Linked DNA regions of Lepisosteus oculatus. The protein of the gene in region 3 interacts with the protein of the main gene of each other region in a biochemical or structural test. Links are inferred from orthologs where the notes say so. Each region holds a gene or a part of one and is shown on either strand. Other genes may lie near its edges.

Region 1 (7,981 bases), on a different chromosome or scaffold from region 3:
ACCCTTAACCCCAACTGCTCCAGGGGCGCCGTATAAATGGCTGACTCTGCGCTTTGACCCCAAGCTTCTCTCCCCGTGTGTGTGTCTCATGGAGAGCAAGTTGGGGTCTGCAAAAAGACAAATTCCTAATGCAAGAAATTGTATATGGCCAATAAAGTGATCTTAAATTATCTTCTTCTACAACCTGTGCCAGGCACCAAAGAGCCCGGTCAAGCACAGGTTCCACTCCTTCATCAGACTGGGGTTCTGATGCCCCTAGGAGCCTGGGACTCATGCTTAGCTGAGCAAACACAAGAGCCCTTTACCACGGCAGTGTGGATGAACCGGGACAACACTGTCCATCTTCTGCAAGCTAGGACAGCGCTGACCTATCAGGGAATGACAACGGGCTGGAAGTCACAGGAGTGAACAGAAAAACACAGCTTCTGCTTTGGCTTCTGGCATCCATTATGAAAGAGGAGTGTGGATCAATCTAAATAACCCGAAGTGGGGAGTCAGGGAGACCTAGGGGAAGACCCTTGCAGGCCTTAGGGAAAAGGACGAAGAGAGACGTTAGTAAGTGGGGACTTTCCACTGCAAAGGGAAGATGAAAAGAACTGTGGGCCTTGGGCAAAGACTGCAGGGAGAGGACAATGAGGCATTCTGTTCTAATCAGCCCCTGTGAACGGTCAGACATTCGCAGTTTCAGAGCCAAAACTGGATGGAGACGGGCACACCAGGGGGCACACTGGTCCCCAAACAAAGCGCTGTTAAGATGCAAATGCAAGAGGGAGGCGGGGGAGGGGGTGTTTTTCACACTTCGCAAGGCCCAGCCGAGCTCCTGTCATGACACTGCCTGTAACACAAAACTGAATCTGTAAACTATTTCAATCAAATGTATTTAAAAACAAACAAACTCTGTCACTACGTATTTCAAATAATAATTCCAACACACTACAAATAGCCTATTGCTTATCAGACAGGAAGTAATCATAACCATTCTGTTTTAAATTAGTTTAATTAACCGTTAGGACTTGAACTCCCTGAGATGTATTTTTCCCACTTGGGAGCTTTGTGATTTTCTCTGCTCCATGTCTAATGTTTGTTCAGTTGGCCCTGTACTATACTCATGACTTCTGCTACAATAATGGATAAAAAGTGCAGTGTTGTTCATCTCAGCAAATCACAAAATGCTTTACACGTGGAGGCATGAGAAAGCACTTCCCCAAATGAATACAGGGGAACTTCAGGAAGGCCAGACTGTACAAGACTTTAGTGCAATTTAGCCAGGGCACCAGGGTTAACACCCAAACTCTTTCGAAAAGTACCATATGACCACTTATTTAGGACTAGTTTTAACATCTCATGTGAAGTATGGAACCTACTAGTGTACAGTGTCTCCAGTCAGCTCAGTGTGAAACTGGTTTAGAAACTGTGGTCCTGAGGAGAGAGTGCCTCCTAGTGGTTCACCCGAGTAACGATCTGTGAAAGCGCTCCTGGGCTGTGAAGGCAGCAATACCGAACATATATTGAATTGATCTTACCCGCAAAAGATGTAAAGGGGTCTCAAGAGAACTTAAGATTGGTTGCAAGAACACCAGCATACGCCACACACACGGACAGTGCACCGGCAGCTCTAGAAATAGTCTAGACTTGCATCCACTGCAGAATATGACTACAGTAAAGATGCTGCCACAAAGTGTGGGAATCTCTGGGCACTCTGTGGAGCTGCGAGCATTTTCATGACCCGAACGCCAGTTTCGATGACAGAAGGCCAGCCTAGTGAAAGATATTATAAGCCAAAGTCTATAGTGCTCCTAATGGAAGCTCCACTCTGGGGTTAGCACTAGCGTGTGGAATCATTTTCAAGGACAGACTTTTTCCTTGCACTCCGATGCTTTGCCCGCAGCATTACAGAGGCCACACGACGCGATTCTCCTCTTCTCGCCTCTCACCGGGCAGAACCACTCTCTCATCCGGACAAACAGAAAAGCGAAACGCCGCACAGGACTCTACGAGAGAGCGCACGGTCCTGCCCAGTCTTTCACCATTCGCACAGGTGGAGAAGAGAGCCGCCTCGCACGATTCACAGGTTGGAACGTGCGGAGGAGACGCCCGCAAGTGAACGGCACACAGGTGGAAGATGTGCATGAACCTTCCCTATTAACAGTGGTTAATGTTCCCCTCGGGCACTGGGTGTTGGAAATTGCTCAGTCTTGGTGTCATGTGGGTGAGCTGAAGACGGGGTCCCACAGTTGCAGACGCCAGTTAGCACCTTCAAGCCTTTTGTTTTTCCCTTGTGCGCTGATCACAGTCTGCAAAGGACCTTGAAGTCTTTTGGGTGTTACAACATTCTCTGACACATATAGCAAATAAATGAGATTAGCCCACATCGAGAGCCTTAGATGTGGGACAGACAATAGACACAGTGGGCAGGCCCTTTGGGCACTTGTCCTAACAGGATAGCTGGATCAGTGAGGATTTACTGTTCAGAGGGGAGGAAGATCAGACACCTAATCATCTTAGTGACAAATGACAGAGAGGAAAAATAAACAGAATATATTGTTAAAAGGGCAAAACTCTCTTCTTAGTTTAAATTCCAGAGTAGACTGTGATTGTAATCTGATTAGATATCCTGCTGGCTCTTGGGCAGGAATGCAGATACCTTCTCAGTCAAGGATTTCTTTCTTAAAGGAAATTGAGAAAGGTAGCACGAAAACAACAAGCTAAATCTGCTTAACAGTTTGACTGGTGAATCTCATTAGTGTAAACTGTGGGGGGATGAACACATTTCTCTATAAGGATAACATCCCACCAAATCCACATGTGCAGAGGTTATTGAGCACTTATCACCCGCCGTGCCGAAGCCCGGCTACTCAATACGAAAGTGCAGCAAAAGAGTGTGAATTGGGATTTTCACAAACTGGAAAACAAAGTGAGCAGTACTGTAATTCTAAATGGAGACCAACGCTGAAATCATTCTGCTACAGGATCTACCGCTATACAACAGATTACAAATTGGTATTGTCATAATGCTCTTATTTCTTCAACCTTCTGATTTAATGCCATTTATTTAACTGTCAATTATTTCCTGGAGCAATATAAAGCAGTGCGAAAGCTCATGATCTCCAGTGTCACAAAGTATAGGTGGACTTGTGCTCAGTTGTAGAAATTCAGAGGCTAAAAACTGGAGGAAAACAGGTTCCCCGGACAAGGCTCGTTAAAATGCAAATACAACTGCGACTGTACCAGGGGGTGAAGGGAGGGTTCACACCTCCAAAGGCCCAATCAAACTCTTGACGCTTCTCATGGTCTCTTCACGCAACACGGAATTTACCCTGTGAATGATTTGGAGTTATCGTATTTTAAACAAATCTGTTACTAGGTATTTTAAAAATAAGTTCAATGCATGATATTCCAACACACAATACAAAATAGCCTGTTGACTATGAGACAGGATGTAATCATACCCATACTATTTTAAATTACTTGAATTCACCTTTAATTAATTTTATTTAATTAACTCCCTGAGGCTAATTTGCCCTTTCAGGACCTTTGTGTTTCTCTCTGCTCCAATTCTATGGCTGTCCAGTTGAGTCTGTACTATAATATTCACCATGACATGGACTATAATAATGAATATGTCCTTGAGTTTTATAGCACCGTTCATCTCAAAAGATCACAAAACGCTTTACATGTACGGTAAAAATGGGGGAACCGACGTATATGTAGAATATTTTCTTTAGAAAAAGTAGAAAATAACTTTAAAAATCATACATGCATAGGGTCTGTTTTTCCACTCTGATCGTCTTGTCAGTTCCTGCAGGAGGAAGTCAGAAGCTGAGCACGGCTGGTCTTGCTCAGTACTGGGATGAGATTTCATGGCGTAAAAGTTCAGCAGTGTCAAACTTCCACCAGTAGACGGCGACCTTCCCTCTGAACCACTAATTCCGAACCAGTGCCTCGATTAGTGATCGTGTGCTCATGGAGTTCTGGAAAAAACAACAGTTCGTCTAATGTTCAACGTCGTTCTCATGTTGGAAAACGTTTAAATACAGAGTTCGTAAAAGTTCTATGTGCTTCAAAGACAAATTCTTTAAAATCTATTTAAAAACACCCTTGGATAACTGGTTTACAGAAATTTCCTAGCATATAAATTTATGTAATGTGACCCCCTAACTTAATCTTCAAATCGATGTGGTTTGTTCTGCTTCGTTCATTTGACGTTGTCTTTGTGCTGTCGTGTTGCAGCACGTGTGAGTATATGTACATGCTTGCATTTCCATTTTTTTTTTGTATACAAAACGTAAAATGTAAATAAAAAATAGTGCTCATGTATATAATGCTTCATGTAACAGCGCCGTCCTTCGGTCAAGAACTTAAACTGAGGTCCGGACCCCTTGGTCATGAAAGATCCCATTGGGTTTCCTAGCGGGAACAGATTTCAAGGGATATACTGAATGGAACAGGACACTGTAACTTATTTATTTTGCACTAAAAGCCACTACATGCCACGGCACTGTTCATCACAGTAGAGAAGCTCACCACGGTGTCCGGGCTAAGCTCTGTTTTGGTTTTGCACAACCTGGCCTCCTTTAATTTTCCCTGCTGCGTGTCGTACCTGAATAAGGAGGGTATTAAAAAATTGTTAACGTTTACTTTTTACTTTAATAAGATATGGACGATAAATTGACTGCGCCGGTCTGGCTGTAAATGAGTAATTACTCATAAAGGATCTGCGTAACCGGTTCCTCGGTTGATGGACAGCTCCAGCGCCCACTCACAGTTCAGCTTTCCGGTTTTCAGCACTTCCAATCCGTGTAGTCATACGGCACCGATTCACCAATCAGAAGGCGATAGACCCGCCCGCGGGTTGAGCCCGGGGCCCCGTGCTATGGCAACCAACCGGAAGTGTGCGGGGAAACGGCTGCCGTAAACGCGTTCTGCGGAGGACTGCGGCGCACAGTCTCTACAGGGCAGCGGAAAGGCGTACTGCAGCTCTCGGGATGCAGCGTGACAGAGCAGGGACTTCGGGTGGTGGTGACAAGTAAGGACGTTGTTGTTTTTTTTTTTGGCGAAGATCAAACGCTTTCTTAAGATTTTCCGTCGGAGGTGAAATTCGGTTGATTCCCGGGTAGGATCACGCAGATCTGAGGCCTGAAGGAGGGTTACCTCTCGCTAGCGTGTGGGTGATGGCTGAGCTCCGTGTCTCCCTTGTCTCTCTCTCTCAGGGCCGAGCGGGAGACAGCGATGATGTCGAAGTATTATGATGGTGTCGAGTTCCCTTTCTGCGATGAGTTTTCCAAGTATGAGAAGCTCGCCAAGATCGGGCAGGGAACCTTTGGGTAAGTTTATTTTGCTCGCACGTCGTTCAACGTTTCCGTTTCCGCCAAAGTATTGTTTCGACCCACATGTGCGGCATATTGTCAAAACATCTTTTTTTCACCTCGGAAATCTCGCTCGACTACGCCCTGTGCCGTCACTAACTGTGGCTGAAAAGCTGATCAACACGTTTGTGTTCGCTCGAATTGACTACTGTAATGCTCTACTCGCTGGGGTGTCTAAATATACTTTGAACAAACTGCAGTGTGTCCAAAATTCAAAATATCAGAGAGTCACCTTCTCTAAACTCCGTCAAATCCAGACTCAAAACCTTCTTCTTCAGAAAAGCCTTTACTTAACTGTTCCATTCTTCACCCCTCTGCTTTTCTTAGTTCCAGCATCCACGGTCTCCTCTACATATTGTAATTGTGTTTTATCATGTGTATTCTTCTTATTTATTGTTGTTGTCATTCTGTAAAGCGCTTTGAGAAGCCACCTTTAAAGGTGCTATATAAAATAAAGTTGTTATTATTATTATTATTTTGATGTGCTCGGGTGTGTAGCAGTCCAGTTGCCATCTAACGCACGATCAACAATAACGATGGGATATTTTTCTTGGATTTGTCCAAGCTTATTTTGAAAGCCCCATATGTGTAAAAACTCACAGTTAAATACATTCTGATTCCATATTGTAATGCAGTAAAATGTAAGAAAGTCCAGGGGAGGTGAGTACGTTTGATAGCAACTGCAGCTGAATAGAAAAATTCCACTCCACACACACGATATGGGGAACATGTTCTGATTTGGTAAAATAATAAACAAATAGTATGGCTGTGGAGCCTTCTTTGGATGTAAGAAAGATAGTAATGTCTCCTATATGAAGTCATTTTATTTTATATTGTATTTTTATTGAAACATTACTGTAGTCAGTGTGTAATCCGAAATCTTAAAATCGGTTGGATTTCCTGGTGTTGGAGACTTGAAGTGCATTTTGTTGGTTTTTGATGCAGGTTTTGTGTTGTGTCCCCAGGGAGGTCTTTAAAGCTAAGCACAGGCAGACTGGCAAGAAGGTAGCCTTGAAGAAGGTTCTAATGGAAAATGAGAAAGAAGGGGTAAGAATCGTTTTTTCCTTTTTCGCCGTCACTGAGTAGATTGTGCTGACGAGACAAAAAAGCTCAAAGAGAGAGGCAGATGGAAAAACCAGCGTGTACTCTTCATTCCTGTCTTTTAATTCGATGCTGTCATTCCACTGTTTTGGTCATCCTTGCTTCTGTATTACGATACTGTAAAAATACGCAACTTTATAAACTGAACATAGTGAACAAATCTCCCTGGCTCCCATTTTTAAGCAGCATTTTCTATTCATTTAATCTTGAAAAGTGGAAATGCAGGTAGCACTCACTGTCACGTTCTTCTTCAGTTTCCCATTACAGCCCTGAGAGAGATTAAGATCCTCCAGCTGTTAAAACACGAGAATGTAGTGAATTTGATTGAGATCTGCAGAACAAAAGGTAAGTCCTCAGAAACTCATCAAGTTGTTTTTTTTCTGTGTACTTTTTTATAGGGCACGAGCAAATACGTAAATTGGTTTATTAAATCTTTATTAAAGAGTAGAAAACAAAAGTGAACACTTTTCAGTTGTTAAAAGGATGTAAAGCTGTTAAGAACACCCGAAACGTTGTTTTCTTTTGACATTTTGCATGAAAATAACCCTTACGTGTTACCTCATACGTAGCATAACCTAAAATAGTTTGATTATTGATATATAGATGTCGTAGTAAACAAACAGAATTGGCTATGTAAATTGTATTCTTATAGAAATACTGAATATCTAAGAATATAAGTATTTTTTAATTAATGTGCTTATTCAATAAAAAGAAAATTAAAGTGTTTTTTTTTTTAATTCCAGCCACCCAGTACAATCGATACAAAGGCAGCATCTACCTGGTGTTTGACTTCTGTGAACATGACTTGGCTGGGTTACTCAGTAATGCCAACGTCAAGTTTACTTTGGCCGAAATCAAAAAAGTCATGCAGATGTTGCTAAATGGTTTATATTACATTCACCGAAATAAGGTAAGAACTGTTTTTTGTTTTGTTTTTAAATCATTTCCTTTCTAAACCTTTATTAAATAGTTATGGACTTCTGTGAAATGTTTTGTTTTTACATTAACACTTACAAAACATTGAATCGTTTCCCTCTTGGTTATGCAACAGACACTTTGCGTTCAGAATTCAAAACCTTGCATGCTAAAGGGTTTATGTGTTTGTTTCTGTTGTTTTCAATGTTTTAGCTTTCTTAGTGCTGTGATTGCCTTTAGACAGTTGTGGTGGAATATGAAACTTTCTAAGAATCCCAGATCTTGTTTGTAAACCGTTTCACCCTGTATTATCAGGGAATTTGTAGCGACACAAGATTACTTAAGGACAATAAAACTTGAAGCTGGTATGCTGTTCTTGCTAGCTCTCCAACCTCAATTCCACTTGATAGGAGAGTGAAACACATGCTGAGAGATGACTAGGACTGATAGTGATACACTGATTCAGTTGTAAGACAGAATGCCCAGAGTATGTGCTACTGTGCTACTGTGAGTATGAACACAGTCAGTTGTCACCAAATATCCAAGTGAAGGGCAGGTGAAATATCCCCTTCCTGGAATCTCCTCAGATATTGGTATAA
Region 2 (7,725 bases), on a different chromosome or scaffold from region 3:
CATCTTAACTGCGACAAGACCGAAGTCATGCTTATTGGCACCCCCCATCAACTTCTTAAAGCCAGTCCTGTAACCCTATCTGTAGATGGTTCTGTACTTGAGCTTCAATCTTAATTGAAAAACCTTGGGGTTATATTCGATTCTAGCTTAACATTCGACCAACATGTACAGCATACTGTCAAAACATCTTTTTTTTCACCTCAGAAATATTGCTAGACTACGTCCTATGCTATCACTAGCTGTGGCTGAAAAGCTGATCAACACATTTGTGTTCTCTCGAATTGACTACTGTAATGCTCTACTTGCTGGGGTACCTAAATCTACTTTGAACAAACTGCAGTATGTCCAAAACTCAGCAGCCAGAATCCTGACCAGGTCTAGTGCAAATGATCACATTACTCCTATCCTGGAGTCCTTGCACTGGCTCCCGGTCAAATCCCATCTTTAAAATCCTCATGCTCACCTATAAGGCTCTGCGTGGCTTGGCACCTCAGTACCTGTCTGAACTATTATCGCCCTGTTCCCCACCTCACAACCTTCTCTCTTCTAATTCTGCTCTCCTTACTGTCCCCCAAGCCCGTCTACATTGTATGGGTGACAGGGCCTTCTCCTGTTATGCCCCCAAGCTCTGGAACTCTCTCCCCAAGGATATCAGAGTCAAAACTTCTCTAAACTTCTCTAAAACTTCTCTAAACTCCTTCAACTCCAGACTCAAAACCCTCTTCTTCAGAAAAGCCTTTACTGAACTGGTTCCATTATTCACCCCTCTGGTTTTCTTAGTACCACCATCCACGCTCTCCTCTATATATTGTTATTATGTTTTATCTTGTGTATTCTTCTTATTTATTGTTGTTGTCATTCTGTAAAGCGCTTTGAGAAGCCACCTTTAAAGGCGCTATATAAAATAAAGTTTATTATTATTATTATTATTATTTCCATTATGTCTTCATCCCGAAAGACAGGACTCATCAGCAGCTCCACCTGGGCGACACACAGCAGTCCAGCTGTACAGCAGGTCAGAAACGGCTTCAGTGGCTGGGTTAGGGGGAACTTGGGTGTGGTCAGACTCTACAGTCCCAGAGCGGAATTAGGCCAGGGCACCAGGGTTCACACCCCATGGTTAGGAAAAACACCAGGAGATTTTTAATGTGCCCATCTCATTCAGCCTCCAACAGCACACTGTCACCAGTCAGCATACTGGGACACTGGTTAGAAACTCTGGTCCACATGTGCTTTACTATAGTATTTTTTTATAAAAGTGACACATTTAACATTTTTGGAAAGATCAGTAGACAGTCAGATTGCAATATTGCAGACTGCAGATTGCTCAAAGTCAGATTGCTCGTTTGTCCTGTTTAAATCTCACTACAGTGGGCTGTGGCAGGGGTGTGCTGCAGGGATGATGTCTGTAACAACCCCGTTTCCAGTCTCTGCTGCCAGAGCCATCACACACGCTGTGTGCCCTTCTCTGCTCCTCCAAGACCTGCGCCACGTTCGCCAGCTGTCCCTTAGAAAACACGTGCCCTGAAGAGGGTTCCGCAGACTCGGACAGGAAGTAGTGACAGGGGGACACGTGTCAGTGTCGCACTCCAAAATTGCATGACACTTCGCCAAAGACCTAACAAAGACCAAGAGAAAAATGGTGCATTTCTCTGCTATTTTTACCTGCAGACTTGGTGTCCTTGAGGATTAAAATTCAGATCCAAAGAAACAGTTTCTGAATACTTTATGTTGAAATTAACAGGGCTCATAATAGTTATTTTTATATATATATAGTTATAATGAGGTAATTTTACAAAAATGCTGTGTCATAGGACAGTGTGAACAGAAGAACTTGAACTTTAAGAAATTCTTTCCCTGAATTCCTGGGCTTTGCACAGACCTTACAAACTCACGCGTAACAAGACTGAAGCACCCAAGCCCCTGCCTGCAGCATCACTGAGCTGCTCATGTGCTTGATGAATACAACCACGAATGCTGGTAGGCCTCCTCACAAAGCGCTCGGCTCAGGAGCTCTTGTGTGTGAGCTCTTGAGTCACACAGCCCTGACAGAGCTGCGCGAGGGGGGTCACAAGACAAGCTGCAGGAGCCCTTAACAATGAGCCCTTTTAATCCCACCCCCCCACCCCGGCCAACCTGCCTGGGCTGCCCCCGGACTCGGAGAAGGAAGGATGATTTGGACAATAAATGAATACTCCTAACATCCTGCGGGAGCTGATCTGCAGCAGGGTTTTGAGGAAAGTGAACGGAGGTGAAGGTTCGATTATTCCTCACCTGGGTTGTGCACAAGCTGATTTTGTGTTGAAACGTACAGTGCTTTTAATGGCATTTTTTGCAAGAATAGCAGGGGTGAGACTCACAAGAATGGAGTCTTATGATATTGTTCCCAGAAGAACCTGACCATTTAGAAATACCACTCTGCCTAAATCTCTGGGCTCTGCAAAGACCTTATGAACTCATGTAACAGGACTGTTGCACACTGATACTGTTCCTCATGAAAGATTTTCTCACCCCGTGTTCTCCCTGACAGTCCTGCGCTGTTACTGTACTTCCATACTGACTTTTACTACAGTTTCTTGTAGGGCTGCTATGCTCACTCCATGCTTTACTGCGCCACACCACAGCTGACTCTGGCATGAAAGGCACTATACAAATCAATAAAGGGACTTTATTTATTTAAATCTTTAGATTTTAGGTAAATTCCCTTTAAGTCTTTGTACTCCTTTTGTAAGGGAAGCCTTATGTCTTTATCAGCGTGAGGCGTCGCCCTGCCTGAATTTGAACTCTGCTGCTTTTCTAGAGGACCCATTGTGATGAGATTACTGTGACGAGCTTCTGGCATCTCCTTTAATTCCTGCCTCAGAACGTTTCTGGTACCCCGATGTTCAGCACCGGTGCCCCTGAAGGGCAGTGCTGGAGCCGGTGAGCCTGGTATGCTATGGCTCACTCAGCCTGCCCTCGTCGCGACCGGCTCTGGTGCAGGCCGGAGACTCGTGCCCAGTGGTCCAGCCAGGTTCAGAGATTATGGCAGAGAGGTCAGTTCTGTCTGGGGGTAATTGGTTCTTATGAAACTTTAATCTCGAGAGCTGTTACAGAAGCGCTCCAGAGTTTTACAGGGGCTGAGGGTCAAAGAGTATTGCTGCAGATTTGGGATTTGTGTTTCGATGGGTTGAGGCATTTTTTTTCATACAAATCTAAAATCATTCATAACACCAGTCGATCATTCCTGACCTGCCATTACCACCACATCCAAAATAGAAAGAAATAAGAAACCTAAACCTGTATTTACAAATTGAAACTAAAAACACTCTCTGTGCCCCCCTTATAGTTACGTAAACCCGTTGGTTTTTAATTTTATGGGCTCTTAAGTCTTAACAATATTATCAAATGTATCTATAATTAAATGACACATGGATTTTGATGGACCTTACATCTTACATGTAAAAAAGTTACAAGAACAAAAGGTTCATAATTACACATCCCTATATGGCTAAGGTTTAATAACACCTTCATAACACTGTGGATCTATACTGTAAAAGCGAACGGTGTTGATTATCTCTGCTCTATTGTAGCTGCGCAGGCAGCAGTGTGAGTGTGAAGAGTTATAGTGATCTATCCCTGCAGAGTAGAGTATCCTTGCAGACGGAAAACCTCCACATGAGGGGAAGCACAAAATCGCGTGTGGAATGTGGAGTTAATCAGGATTATGGGAGCTCTTGTGACTCCGACTGCGATGGGATTTTGCACCCAAGGATTCAGCAACAAAGCTGCATGTTCAGAGTCCACTGGGAAGACCTGGAGCAATGTCCCTCCGAGACAGGGGGTGGTGGGGGGGCACAGACTATGATATCTGTCTGATGCTGCACATGTGCTCATGGGATCCCATCTGCATGACAGTCACACATCTGCTCAGAAACGGCAAAGTGTGACTGGTGTGAAGGTGGAGATTGGAGAGTGAGGGAGGGAGGCAGTGTGGGCTAGTGGTTAGAGCTGAGGCACTGGGAGAGAGAGAGGCAGTGTGGGCTAGTGGTTAGAGCTGAGACACTGGGAGAGAGAGAGGGAGGCAGTGTTTGGTCTTTTTCTTTCAAAATATTTGAGATCCCTAAATTATGTTTCAAAGACGTAATTATGGTTTTTGCATACCAGATTTGTGTCCATCTTAATTCTCACATTCATCCCTGAAACAAATCAAGAGCAAATACTACTATACATAATACTTTGATAATCCCCCGATAAAAATATAACAAATCAGAACACCTTTCAACAGCTTGTGCAGTGTACTAGAGGATTGCAGCGTGTGCTGTCACAGACAGACTGCGAGCTGAAATTTTCGAACGAGATTTTCGGTGTGGTGGAGCACAGCAACTGCACTTCGGGAAAGTGAAATTTGAATTGAGGCGGGTTGCTACGGGTGCCTACTGCTGCCTTTAAGTTGATATGCAGCTCCGCACTTCTTCCGGAGCGACAGGCCTCGCTTTGTCCTTCTGTATGGTGGAGGGCGGGGACGTCCGGGCTAAGAGGCGGGGTTACGTCCAACAATGGGCGTGACTCGGTCCCAAGTGGGCGTGGCCTGGTAGCTTTTTCCCAATTGAACGCCGAAATAACAAAGGGGCGGGGTCTTGCGCCGGGGTTTGGAGCCGAGGGCGGGGCGTCCTCAACGCGGGAATTGGCGGTTTTCAGTTACTTTCCGTTTTCTGGGCTGTGGGGGAGAGGGTTACAGGTCAATGCTGGAGGGTCTTTTTGGTTTTGGGGCCCCTCTCGTGTTCCCCCATCGGTACCGGGCGGACCGTCTCCAGCCACAAACCCCCGGCAAGTGCTCGTAGAAGTTCTTTGTCGAGCGAGTGTCGGTCTTTTGGTCAGACGGCGGCGGCAGCGGCGGCAGAGACACTCGGGCCAACAAAAGGGATTTTTTTGGGGGGCTGGGGGTGGGTGGAGGCACAGAGCGGGGAGGAACCATGGAGTCGTTTCAGAAAGTGGAGAAGATCGGCGAGGGGACCTACGGGGTGGTCTACAAGGCCAAGAACAAGCTGACAGGCGAGACGGTGGCGCTGAAGAAGATCCGGCTAGATACGTGAGTCGAGCCCAGCCTGTTGCTGATGCGCGCGCGTGTTTCCTTACGGCGTCTGCGCGCCGCGCGTGCGGGCGGGCGGGCGAGCGAGTGAGCGCGCGGCCGCCCGAAGCGGAGCTCCTCTCCTCTGCCACCCGTCTGGCGCCCGCGGGGCATCTGTGGTCCGGTCCGGGTCCGGGTCCGGGTCCTCCGTGTGGGGGTTGAGACGCAGCGCTCTGGTGCTCGGTGGCTCGTCCACGTCACGGAAGCGCCTTATAAACCCTGTGGACTCACCGGAGACCGAGCCGCTCGGAGCGAGTGAACTTCAAGACTTGGGCATGCGGTGACTTCAGTCCCTTTCTTTTGTGTATAGTTTTCTGGGGCTGTGATGTGTCCGCTGTGCTGTGTGTCTATGAACCGGCTCCTGTCTTTGTTTTAATCTTCAGTCTTAATTGAAGCCATGCAGACGTGGTGTGTTCTTATTTTTACTTGTTGTTTTATACGAGTTTACTTTAAGTCCTGAGTTAACTAAGTGTTTTTTGGGGGGGGTTTCTGATCTGGGGAAAAAATGTGTATCTACTGATGTAGAGGGTGCTGAGCCAGGCCAGGCTGAGGCCGCCAGGGTTGAGCCCCGTCCTTTCTGGCTGAGGTGCTTGGGATCGGTGCCTGTCCCCCAGCTGTTGTTGCTCTGTCGAGTGTTGGGGGTCCTGCTGGTCGTCACTGAGCGTGGTGTCGCTCACTGCGTGTGTTTCAGGGAGACAGAGGGAGTCCCCAGCACTGCTATCCGAGAGATCTCCCTCCTGAAGGAACTCAATCACCCCAACATTGTCAAGTGAGTCCGTGGAAGTGAGGGGTTCGGGGAGCGGGGGGCAGGTTGTTGGTGTTATTGCTTGCTGTCGGTGTTGTGTGTGCAGCTGTCAGCTTGTGTATGTCAGCGGTTGTAAGAGAGATCATGAATGATAGGAAGCCGTTTGGCCTACCTGCCTGCCTTGCTTGTCTGGTTGTTTACTAGGTAAAGGAACAATAAATGTCAGACATGTGGCTGGGATGCCTGCTCCAGACACCCACAGCTCTTTGTGTAAAGAAGCATCTCCTGTTCCCCGTCTTGAATGAGCACGTTGAAGAAAGTAAATAGACTCCCCGGTCCCTCTCCCTGCTCTGCTGAGTCCCCAGGCAGTGCGTCCGGTGTGCGTGTGGTGCCTTCAGTGTGTGTGCTGTGTGCCTGGTGTGCGTGCGGTGCCATCAGTGTCTGCTGTGCCCAGTGTGCTGTGTGTTGTGTGCCCTGTGTGCGTGCGGTGCCTTCAGTGTGTGTGCTGTGTGCCCGGTGTGTTTGCCGTGCGCCCAGTGTGCCTGGTGTGCCCAGTGTCTGTGCAGTGTGGGTGCAGTGCCTTCAGTGTGTGTGCTGTGTGCGTGCTGTGTGCCCGGTCTGTTTGCCGTGCGCCCAGTGTGCCTGGTGTGCCCAGTGTCTGTGCAGTGTGTGCTCAGTGTGGGTGCAGTGCCTTCAGTGTGTGTGCTGTGTGCGTGCTGTGTGCCCGGTCTGTTTGCCGTGCGCCCAGTGTGCCTGGTGTGCCCAGTGTCTGTGCAGTGTGTGCTCAGTGTGGGTGCAGTGCCTTCAGTGTGTGTGCTGTGTGCCTGGTGTGCGTGCGGTGCCTTCAGTGTGTGTTGCTTTGTGCCCAGTGTGCTTGCAGTGTGTGCCCAGTGTGCGTGCAGTGTGTTCCCAGTGTGCGTGTGGTGCCCCTAGTGTGTGTTGCTTTGTGCCCAGTGTGCGTGCAGTGCACCCAGTGTGTGTGCGCAGGGCAGTGTGCAGTGTGTGTCTTCCTGTGCAGATCTGTACTAATCAGTGTGCAGTTTCGTCTGTCCTGTTTCTGCCCAGGCCCTCTGTCTCCGTTTGCCTCTGTCCTTGTGTGCCTCTCCCTTTCTCTGTCTGCCTCGTGTGCGGCCCGATTGGGCCCGCAGGCCCGGCAGCAGGGCCGCTGTCCGTGCTGACGTGACTGCTCTCCCCCGCAGGCTGCGCGATGTCATCCACACGGAGAACAAGCTCTACCTGGTGTTCGAGTTCCTGCACCAGGACCTCAAGAAGTTCATGGACTCCACGCCGGTCACGGGCATCGCCCTGCCGCTGGTCAAGGTACGGCAAGTGTCAGGAGTGCGGCCATGCTGGCGAGAGACGGACCTGACTCCTCTTCTGGGATAGGCGCTCCTTCCTCCTCCTCCTGGGGTCAGTCCGGGGCAGACACCCCCCGACAGTGCTGTATCCCCAGGGAGCCCCACCAGGCACGGGGCTGAGCTGACCGACACTCACTGCCGCCGACATCCTGAGACTCTGTCTCTCTCCCTGAGCTGGAACTCGAGTCATGCTCTTAAAGGGGAACCAAATTAAAATTCCTTGCCGTTACAGAACAAAATGTACAAATTTAGAATCAAGCACAAAATCGTGAACTTTGTGAGAGTACTGTAAGTCGCCATGTTGACGCAAACTCGCATGCGAATTCACATGAATTGTGACGTGAAGGGGCCCTTCCTGCTCACTAGTCACCCTGATGACTAATGTAGTGTGATGTACAATCAAATAAATACAGGTTGTACAGTGGATATTTCACCTCAGAAATGTTCCAATGTGATCTGCATGTAGAGTTAACAAGTAAGTAGTATTTGTCTGCAATACTGTCTTGACATCA
Region 3 (7,378 bases):
CAACCTATGTAACAGTTTTACACAAGGAGAATTTTGTCTGACCACAAAACTGCTTCAATTACCTTCAAGACCAACAGTCTTACTAAAAAAGTGTGATGGAGGATAAATCCACTGATTCAGTGTACATAAAATATGCTCCTCACTACAGTTAGTCAACTTTAACCAAAAGTAAAATGCATGTGAATTAATTATCTGTTTTAACCTCCCCGAACATATCCGAAATGGATAAGTTCTAAACGCTCCTCATCACCTTAAAGGGGACGAAAGCTTGGGCTCCTAACTACACCTGTGAACCGTTAATCCTTTGAAAACACACATCGGTTGCCCCTTTTGGACACGGGCCTTGTTTCAGTACCAAGTGAGAGGCTGATGTTCAGAACAATTGGAGATCTAGATCTAAAAAGAAATAGTTTTTGATCCCAGAACAGTTGATCACTTACAGGTAGTAATCCACAACAAACTTATCACTCAGGTTGACTCATATTAATACTTAGGTGTACACATAGACCGTTACCTGTGCGGGTCACTCATGTTGAGAGTGTTTGCTCCAAAGTTCAGCAGCATGTCAAACCAATACAAACATTCCTTTGTTCCACTATCCATTAATACTGTCAATGCAAATGTCACGGATAAACACAATTTTGACTCTTACCACCCACTTGAGTGCAATATGTTTTTGTGATGTGTTATAAATGTTACATGTTGTTATGTGTTATACTGTGCAATAGAATGATGCGGAATGTTTTGCTTTTTTTTTAATAGTATAATGAGCAATGTTTTTCTTATTTTTTGTAATAGTCAAATGTGCTGTTTTTCTTCTCCCTTTTTTTCCTGCATGGGTCAATTAAATCTTATCTAATCTATGCTTTTCCTTCTGGTGCTCAGAGAAAATACTTTTTGTCGTCATCTGCGGAATGATCGCCCAGTCCACATCAGACCACTCACTTTTACATTCTAGCTTTTAGTTGTATTAACTTATGGTTACCTGTCTCTTTCAAAAGTTTTATTGTATGGTGGCGTGAAATGATGCATCATTAAAGGTGTATTAAGAATAGTTATAAACAGAGCTCCATGCAGAGTCCTTTCAACTTAATGATTTTTTTTCCGTGCTTGCTTCTCAGTCTTCTTGTTTTGTACAGGGGCAGCTTGCATACTATGACAGTTTTAAATTCCTGATCTGAACACTTCCCCTTCAGTTGTTTATTAGTCTTATGTGAAGCTGTAAAGCAATATTTCCTCTCAGTGTTAAATAATTTGGTTTGATGGCAGTATTTAAGCCTCAACAGATAACGGAAACGTCTTGTAGTATTTAGCAATGAAGCAGATTTGCCTATTTACTATTTTATTATTATGGAGTGGAATATTAATTTGTGCCATGTGTTCTTATTTAAGCTGTAATTAACACAATAAATATTGCTCGATTGATGTACACATATAAGGCAGATTATCAAGTCATTACATTATTCTACACAGGTGGTTAAGTGCTAAAGTGTCCAAGATTTTTTAATATCCTCACACTGTAAGAATTAGACTAAAGTGATAGTTTATTCATGAAGTCCAGAGAAACTTTGACATTGATGCTAATGTCCTACAAGTACATTCCCTATAAACTGATAAAGACCACACATTTAGTTAGTTAATTAATAGAGACAGAATATAGAACAGAGCAAAAAGAAATGTGTAAACATGCAAAGCCAGAATAAGCTTCCTAAACTGCTGATGCAGTGCAATCACAATGATCCTGATAGCAATATCCTAGTGGGTTGTATTTTCACATCTGACTGGCATCAAGACCATTGCTTTAGTATCGAATTAAGACAGTCCTCAATAGGCACTGACAAAGACAACCTACTGGACTTTTTTTTTAGAATCAACAATAAAACATTAATCAGAGAATACAAACGGTCAGTAGATTTAAAATTGAGAACAGGAGGAACCTAACACAAAGGGGTGTGGGTGACAGCTTTTTAACAATATTGTAGTATTTAAATCTATAAATAGATTTCTAGAATAAGTAATTGAAGCCTCTCTGATCTTTAAGAAACTTCAGTGGGTCACAAGGAAGCTCCATTCTCACTAAAAGTGATCTAACTTACAAATCTTACAAGAGGCATATCTTAACATGGAAAGGACTATGAAGCGCTGGGTTAAAATATCATTATAAACACTAGAGACTTCATATTGAGGTTTAAATGTGCATTTTGCTGATCTAACGCTCTGCACAAACTAAGTTTACGCTATCGTACTTTAGTTATATTTCAGCCATGATATCCACCTACATACTAAACACAAACTGGGACTGAATATCTTTCTAAACTTTAAACTCCATCTATCATAAGCATATACACGTAAAGAACGTCTGTTTGGCCGGAGCAAAGACGAAAATGTATAATTGATGAGGACTGGAACCTATTTGACAAACACAGGAAACAAAAACGGAATCTTTTTCACCGGCTAAAGGGGAAAGAAATCTACGAAATAAAAACATCGCGTAGTACCTGCACCTCTTGCATACGGAAGATGAGTAGTAGAACAGAAAAACCCAAGTGTCAGCCTCATTCATGAGACTTAAATCTCTGCGCGGCTCAAAGGCAAACATAACGGGTCCTACATTACACACTCTCAAAAGGTTTACACGCAGCATGACAGCTGGTCAAGTAAACCCAGCTCTTCCTCGTGAAACAAGAGAGATTTTCGATTTCTTGGCATCTGCTGTTACCTTTCAAGAGAGAGCTGGGGGATCCTACCCGGCGTCCCGGGGACACCGACGCGGTTGGTGTGTTTATCCTCCGCAGCCTTAGAAAGCTGAGCGCTCGGAGCTGCGCTGCGTCTCTTTGGAGGCATGTCAATGGCTTTAACAAGATCCGAGTGCAAGTGTAATAGCGGAGAACCACTCCTGGAATCGGCGTCTTTGTCTTTGGATACTTTTTTGTTTGTTAGTATTAAATCCCCCCCCCTACACGTTTGACAAGAAGTACTTCTGGTTTCAACTGATTCAGAGGGCACTTAAACCGCGGGAAAACTGCGAAATATCCTCCCTCCCTGCTCCGTCACTTCCTGTGACATTTAGCCACTGGCCAGAGAAAGAAACTTGTAACTCATTTTGTAACAGTCGTAAGAATGAAAGAAAAAGTTAAACTTATTTGTTTACATAATAAATTGGTATTGTTTACATGTAAACATAAACCAAAGTGTAAAAAAAAAACTCTGTAGTGCTCCGGACGAGACATGTTATTTTGTTGAAAAAGCCGTGGAATTGTTTGAAATCTAGCACGGTCCTCCCCCTTTTAAATTATGGCACATGAGAGTCGTGAAGTACACTTGGAAGTTTTGAAAACAGGTACCCGCAAAATCTTTAACACATGATATTTATTTTTCTGCCGTTGTACTGCACGGTCATATAAATGAAATAATTATTTCAAAACATATGATATTGTTCTCTGTATCCAAGCAGTAAATATATATTTTGTGGATTTGTGTAAATGTTATACTTTGGATAATGTTTATATGTAAACAATATAAATTAATATAAAACATTAATTTTAATCAGAATTTACCCAGAATAAATCTAATTCTTCAGTGGTTCCTGATATATTTGGAAAACGTTTCTGTTATGTATATTGCACACAGAATGATACTGCAAAGCATTTTAAATTATTTTAAATTCCTTATGTAAAACTATATACCAGTTAAAGTGTAATGAAAATTATTAAAAGACTACATCAACCCCAGTTTTTTCACATTTGTAGGTTTGGTTATTCTTGACCTGTTCTGTTTCTTACATTTCATAATATTTGTAACCTGTTATGCTAGACAGATGCTGGTGCTTGGTTTTCATTGTTTACATTCTTTCAAGAAATATTCATTTCTTGCTACTTTGAAGAAAACACTGGGCCTCAGGACAGTTATGAAAGGGGTCTTCTGATAGTAAGATTGAGATTGTGACCTGTAACCTGGGTGCTTGAATTTTCACAGTCTCTCACCTGGTATAAACGTTTTTGACAAAGAGGAAGAAAAGACACATCTCACAAAGCTGACAAGGCACCACACAAATCACAGAAGAACACATAACATAATCTGTCTCTCATAAACAAGCATATCTTTGATAATGCAAAAAATAAAAGCAAAAGAGAAGAAATGAGAAATTCCAAAACAAAATCTCAATGACAACTGGAGGAAGAACATCAGTTGCAAATAATTACATAGAGACCAACAACATTTTCAGTATTTATTGAAAATCAATTCAAAAACTGATGTGGTAGCAAAGTTTGAAATAAAATTCAAACCTAAAGCTGGATTTTGAAAAGACAAATGAAACGCACTTTGGCACATTGTGATCATAAATCTTATTTAAAAATAATCAAATTTTGCCAGTTTATATCATATTGCAGTTGCTGGCAGTTCAGGGAAAACAGGGGAAGAAAATGAGGCTCATACACAGTGATATCCAATTCTGTTGGTTTGTTCATTCAAAATAATAACACCAGTATTATTTATTTACATAATGAAAATATTATATTTAAATACATTTGTATTATCTGTTTCTTTAATTAGATCATTAACAAGCAGGTTAACCTGATGTTAACACCATGGTATTTTGAAAAATAGTTAATATTTTATTCAATGTAGGAGAGTTTGCAATGGCTGTGTCACATTTGTTTTACTTGGAAATCTTCTCTAGTTCTGTCACCCAGTCGGAGAATGTTTCCTCTTCAAAATCCCTGAAAATGACAAGAGCTTCTGTAAGTCAGTTATATGTTAAAATGTTACAAACACACAAATTCACAGAAAAGGTTGTTTGTGGCCTTGGCAACTAATGCAGGGCCTTAAAAGTAATATTAACAATAGCTGTCATGACCTACAGCCAATAAAAGAAACAGGATGGACATAATGTCACTTGCTAGTATTTTTTCCTGTGTTGTAATATACATGTAGAGTATGAAGGAGGAAAGCATGAAGAAAGCTAAAGCAGAATGAATGAAAAATAGACTTTATCCAGGCATTATAAATATAATGAAAACTGTCTGAATGATCTATAATTGACACATCTGCCCAAAATTAAAACAGAATACCCTAGGGATATTTCACAGTGAAACAATCATCTGAGCCCCAACTTAAGTTCACAGAGACCTCAAAGGATACCCTTTCCACAGGATGGTAAAAATCAAACTATATCAAAGGATATTGAAGCAGTAAGACACCCTGGACATTTTCTACAAAATTCAACCTGCAAGTATGAAGCAAAACATTTGGACTGTCGACAATTCAACCTGAGTTGAGAAGAGGAAATGATCTTCTTTCAGATTTGTTCATCATTCTTTAGACCATGTACACAAATCCTCAAGTGCAAACCTAACTCTTTTGCACTATGAGAACATAAGCAGCACAAGGAAGTACTGTGGAAGTTGCCAGCACTATGGTGTTTTAGTCAAGAAAGCAGAAAGCAGGGGTGTTCTAAAAATGGGGATTTCCTGTGGATTAATAGAATAACCTATTACCACATAGCACAAGTTCAAGACTGAGGTTTAAGAACCTCAAAAAGCTTATTCTTCAAGGTTCTCAGTTGCCATACCATGTTAAGGCAGTTTCTTATTACTTCCAATCTCCCATCCAAGTACTAGCCAGCCAATGGAGGGAGTGTGTGCCGTTATGAGTGACAGGGACTGTATAGAGACTCACGTGTCCTCATCATCAGAGCGTGGCTCCAGTCGGTAGGAATCCACACTATCTTCTATGTCCCCATCTGTGTCATCACAACCTCCCCGTGTCAGGGGCCCTACCAGAGGGTTAAATTTGGCTGGGGTACAAAAAAATAAGAAAGAAAAAACCGCCTCGTTGATTTATAAGAACAAAAGGTTACACATGAGGAAAGAGAGGTCAATCAGCACACCCAACATATTTACTTTCTAGCAGCTCATTAAATTACCATTTCCGTGGTCCTCACCGAAAAACCAACTGGATTTTAAAAGCAAAAGATGTCACTGTGGGCCGAGACAAGTGTAGAGACACAACTGACAGTTCCAGATTGGGGAGGAGTAAAATGTTATGCAGAAAATGTAAATATAGAAAACTGTTAAAAATTGGGGAATTAATGGAGTAAACACAAAGTATTCTTCCTGCTAGCAAGGAAGCCCCAACAATAACCAAGAATAGCACTATGCCTGTTTTCTTTCCTCTATTTCAGAAAGCATAATTTGTAAGAATAGCAAGAAGACCAGTGACTAGGTATCCGGACGACAATGAGGGATTCAAGAATCTGTGACTGACCCTAGTGACTGACCTTGTTGTGATTTACTTGTTTATTTTATTTATTAGAATTAAATACAATATTTTATAAGCCTAAATCTCAATTACTTATTGTGTTGCACTTCTACCAAAATATCTTATAGATTCATATTATGTGTTTAAACAGTCCCAACCACAAAACATGTTCAACACAACAAAATCTGACCCTGTATTTGTAAGTATTTTTTTCTTTTACAATACAACTGGTTTATCTTCTGGTATATTTTCTTTGGTGGGGGTCACTGTTTCTGAGTACTGGAGTCCAAAATGTTTACATCACACATCTTTAATTATTAAGTACAAATCAAACAGAAAGCTCAGTGAGTCTGCACTCCTCTTCTGGGACTGAAATCGACACACCTTCCTCTGCACCTCTCCGCGCCCACCTTACTCGCCTGCTGCAAGCCCATTCTGCACATCTCTCTGTCTCACCTGGCCTGCACACAGTGTACGTCTTGAATGCCTCACTGAGATGAGCCTTCTCCAGCAGACTGAGCAGTCGCTCTGGTGGTTTCTTCACCCACTGCATTCGAGGGCGGGAACGGGGATACTCAAGACCTCCTGAGATTCAGACACACACCACAGTCATGACACTGTAGACAAAGAGTGCTGAACATTACCATTCCAGATTCTTACCATTCTGAGGAAAAGAGAAGTTAAACGACCAACAGTTCTCCTGTTAACACACTGCTCACTCATACAACATATTCTGTCCATGTTTCTCAAATATCTTTCTCCTCCTTTCTGAAGAAATGTATTGTTTACAATCTCATTCAACACACTGCCCAAGTGCACAATGTGTCAGCACTGCAGAAACGCCCCAGGCTTCAAATCCTGGTCCTTTTTTTTTGCACTTCAAGGGTACTCACATACAGAGAGTAAATATGGATTTATTTGCAAAAACATAATTCAGAAGTCAACAAGATAAAATAGTAACAATGTTACAAATTATTTTTAGATTGGAAGAGATGCCAAACTGTGCTTAAAGATCCCAGAGAGCAAACAGTCCCAATCTGAAAGGTACTGGAGCTGACCTCCAGTCCCAAGCTTCCACTCAGTACACAACAGTGTCCACATGCCACAGTGTATAAGT

What was found. The genes of interacting proteins can lie anywhere in the genome.
Region 1: of the proteins of rb1 (region 3) and cdk9, one has a biochemical effect on the other in vitro, tested with the Homo sapiens proteins (4 studies listed by BioGRID, with this or other methods). The link is inferred for Lepisosteus oculatus from reciprocal best matches to the Homo sapiens genes RB1 and CDK9.
Region 2: of the proteins of rb1 (region 3) and cdk2, one has a biochemical effect on the other in vitro, tested with the Homo sapiens proteins (35 studies listed by BioGRID and IntAct). The link is inferred for Lepisosteus oculatus from reciprocal best matches to the Homo sapiens genes RB1 and CDK2.

What each region holds. Positions count from the first base shown.
Region 1 is NC_090719.1:14,317,184-14,325,164, forward strand, and holds the start of cdk9 (cyclin-dependent kinase 9), read left to right. Parts: upstream 1-4,896; 5' UTR 4,897-4,985; coding exon 4,986-5,026; intron 5,027-5,210; coding exon 5,211-5,324; intron 5,325-6,331; coding exon 6,332-6,413; intron 6,414-6,721; coding exon 6,722-6,812; intron 6,813-7,210; coding exon 7,211-7,377; intron 7,378-7,981. UniProt on the Homo sapiens protein: Protein kinase involved in the regulation of transcription.
Region 2 is NC_090696.1:15,129,367-15,137,091, reverse strand, and holds the start of cdk2 (cyclin-dependent kinase 2), read left to right. Parts: upstream 1-4,640; 5' UTR 4,641-4,955; coding exon 4,956-5,071; intron 5,072-5,134; exon of another isoform or gene 5,135-5,385; coding exon of another isoform or gene 5,386-5,390; intron 5,391-5,398; exon of another isoform or gene 5,399-5,507; coding exon of another isoform or gene 5,508-5,518; intron 5,519-5,801; coding exon 5,802-5,879; intron 5,880-7,054; coding exon 7,055-7,175; intron 7,176-7,725. UniProt on the Homo sapiens protein: Serine/threonine-protein kinase involved in the control of the cell cycle; essential for meiosis, but dispensable for mitosis. Phosphorylates CABLES1, CTNNB1, CDK2AP2, ERCC6, NBN, USP37, p53/TP53, NPM1, CDK7, RB1, BRCA2, MYC, NPAT, EZH2.
Region 3 is NC_090700.1:17,210,531-17,217,908, reverse strand, and holds the start of rb1 (retinoblastoma-associated protein), read right to left. Parts: upstream 3,007-7,378; 5' UTR 2,845-3,006; coding exon 2,720-2,844; intron 1-2,719. Other genes in the region: serine/threonine-protein kinase Nek3, read right to left, coding at 4,661-4,721, 5,680-5,797, 6,718-6,846. UniProt on the Homo sapiens protein: Tumor suppressor that is a key regulator of the G1/S transition of the cell cycle. The hypophosphorylated form binds transcription regulators of the E2F family, preventing transcription of E2F-responsive genes.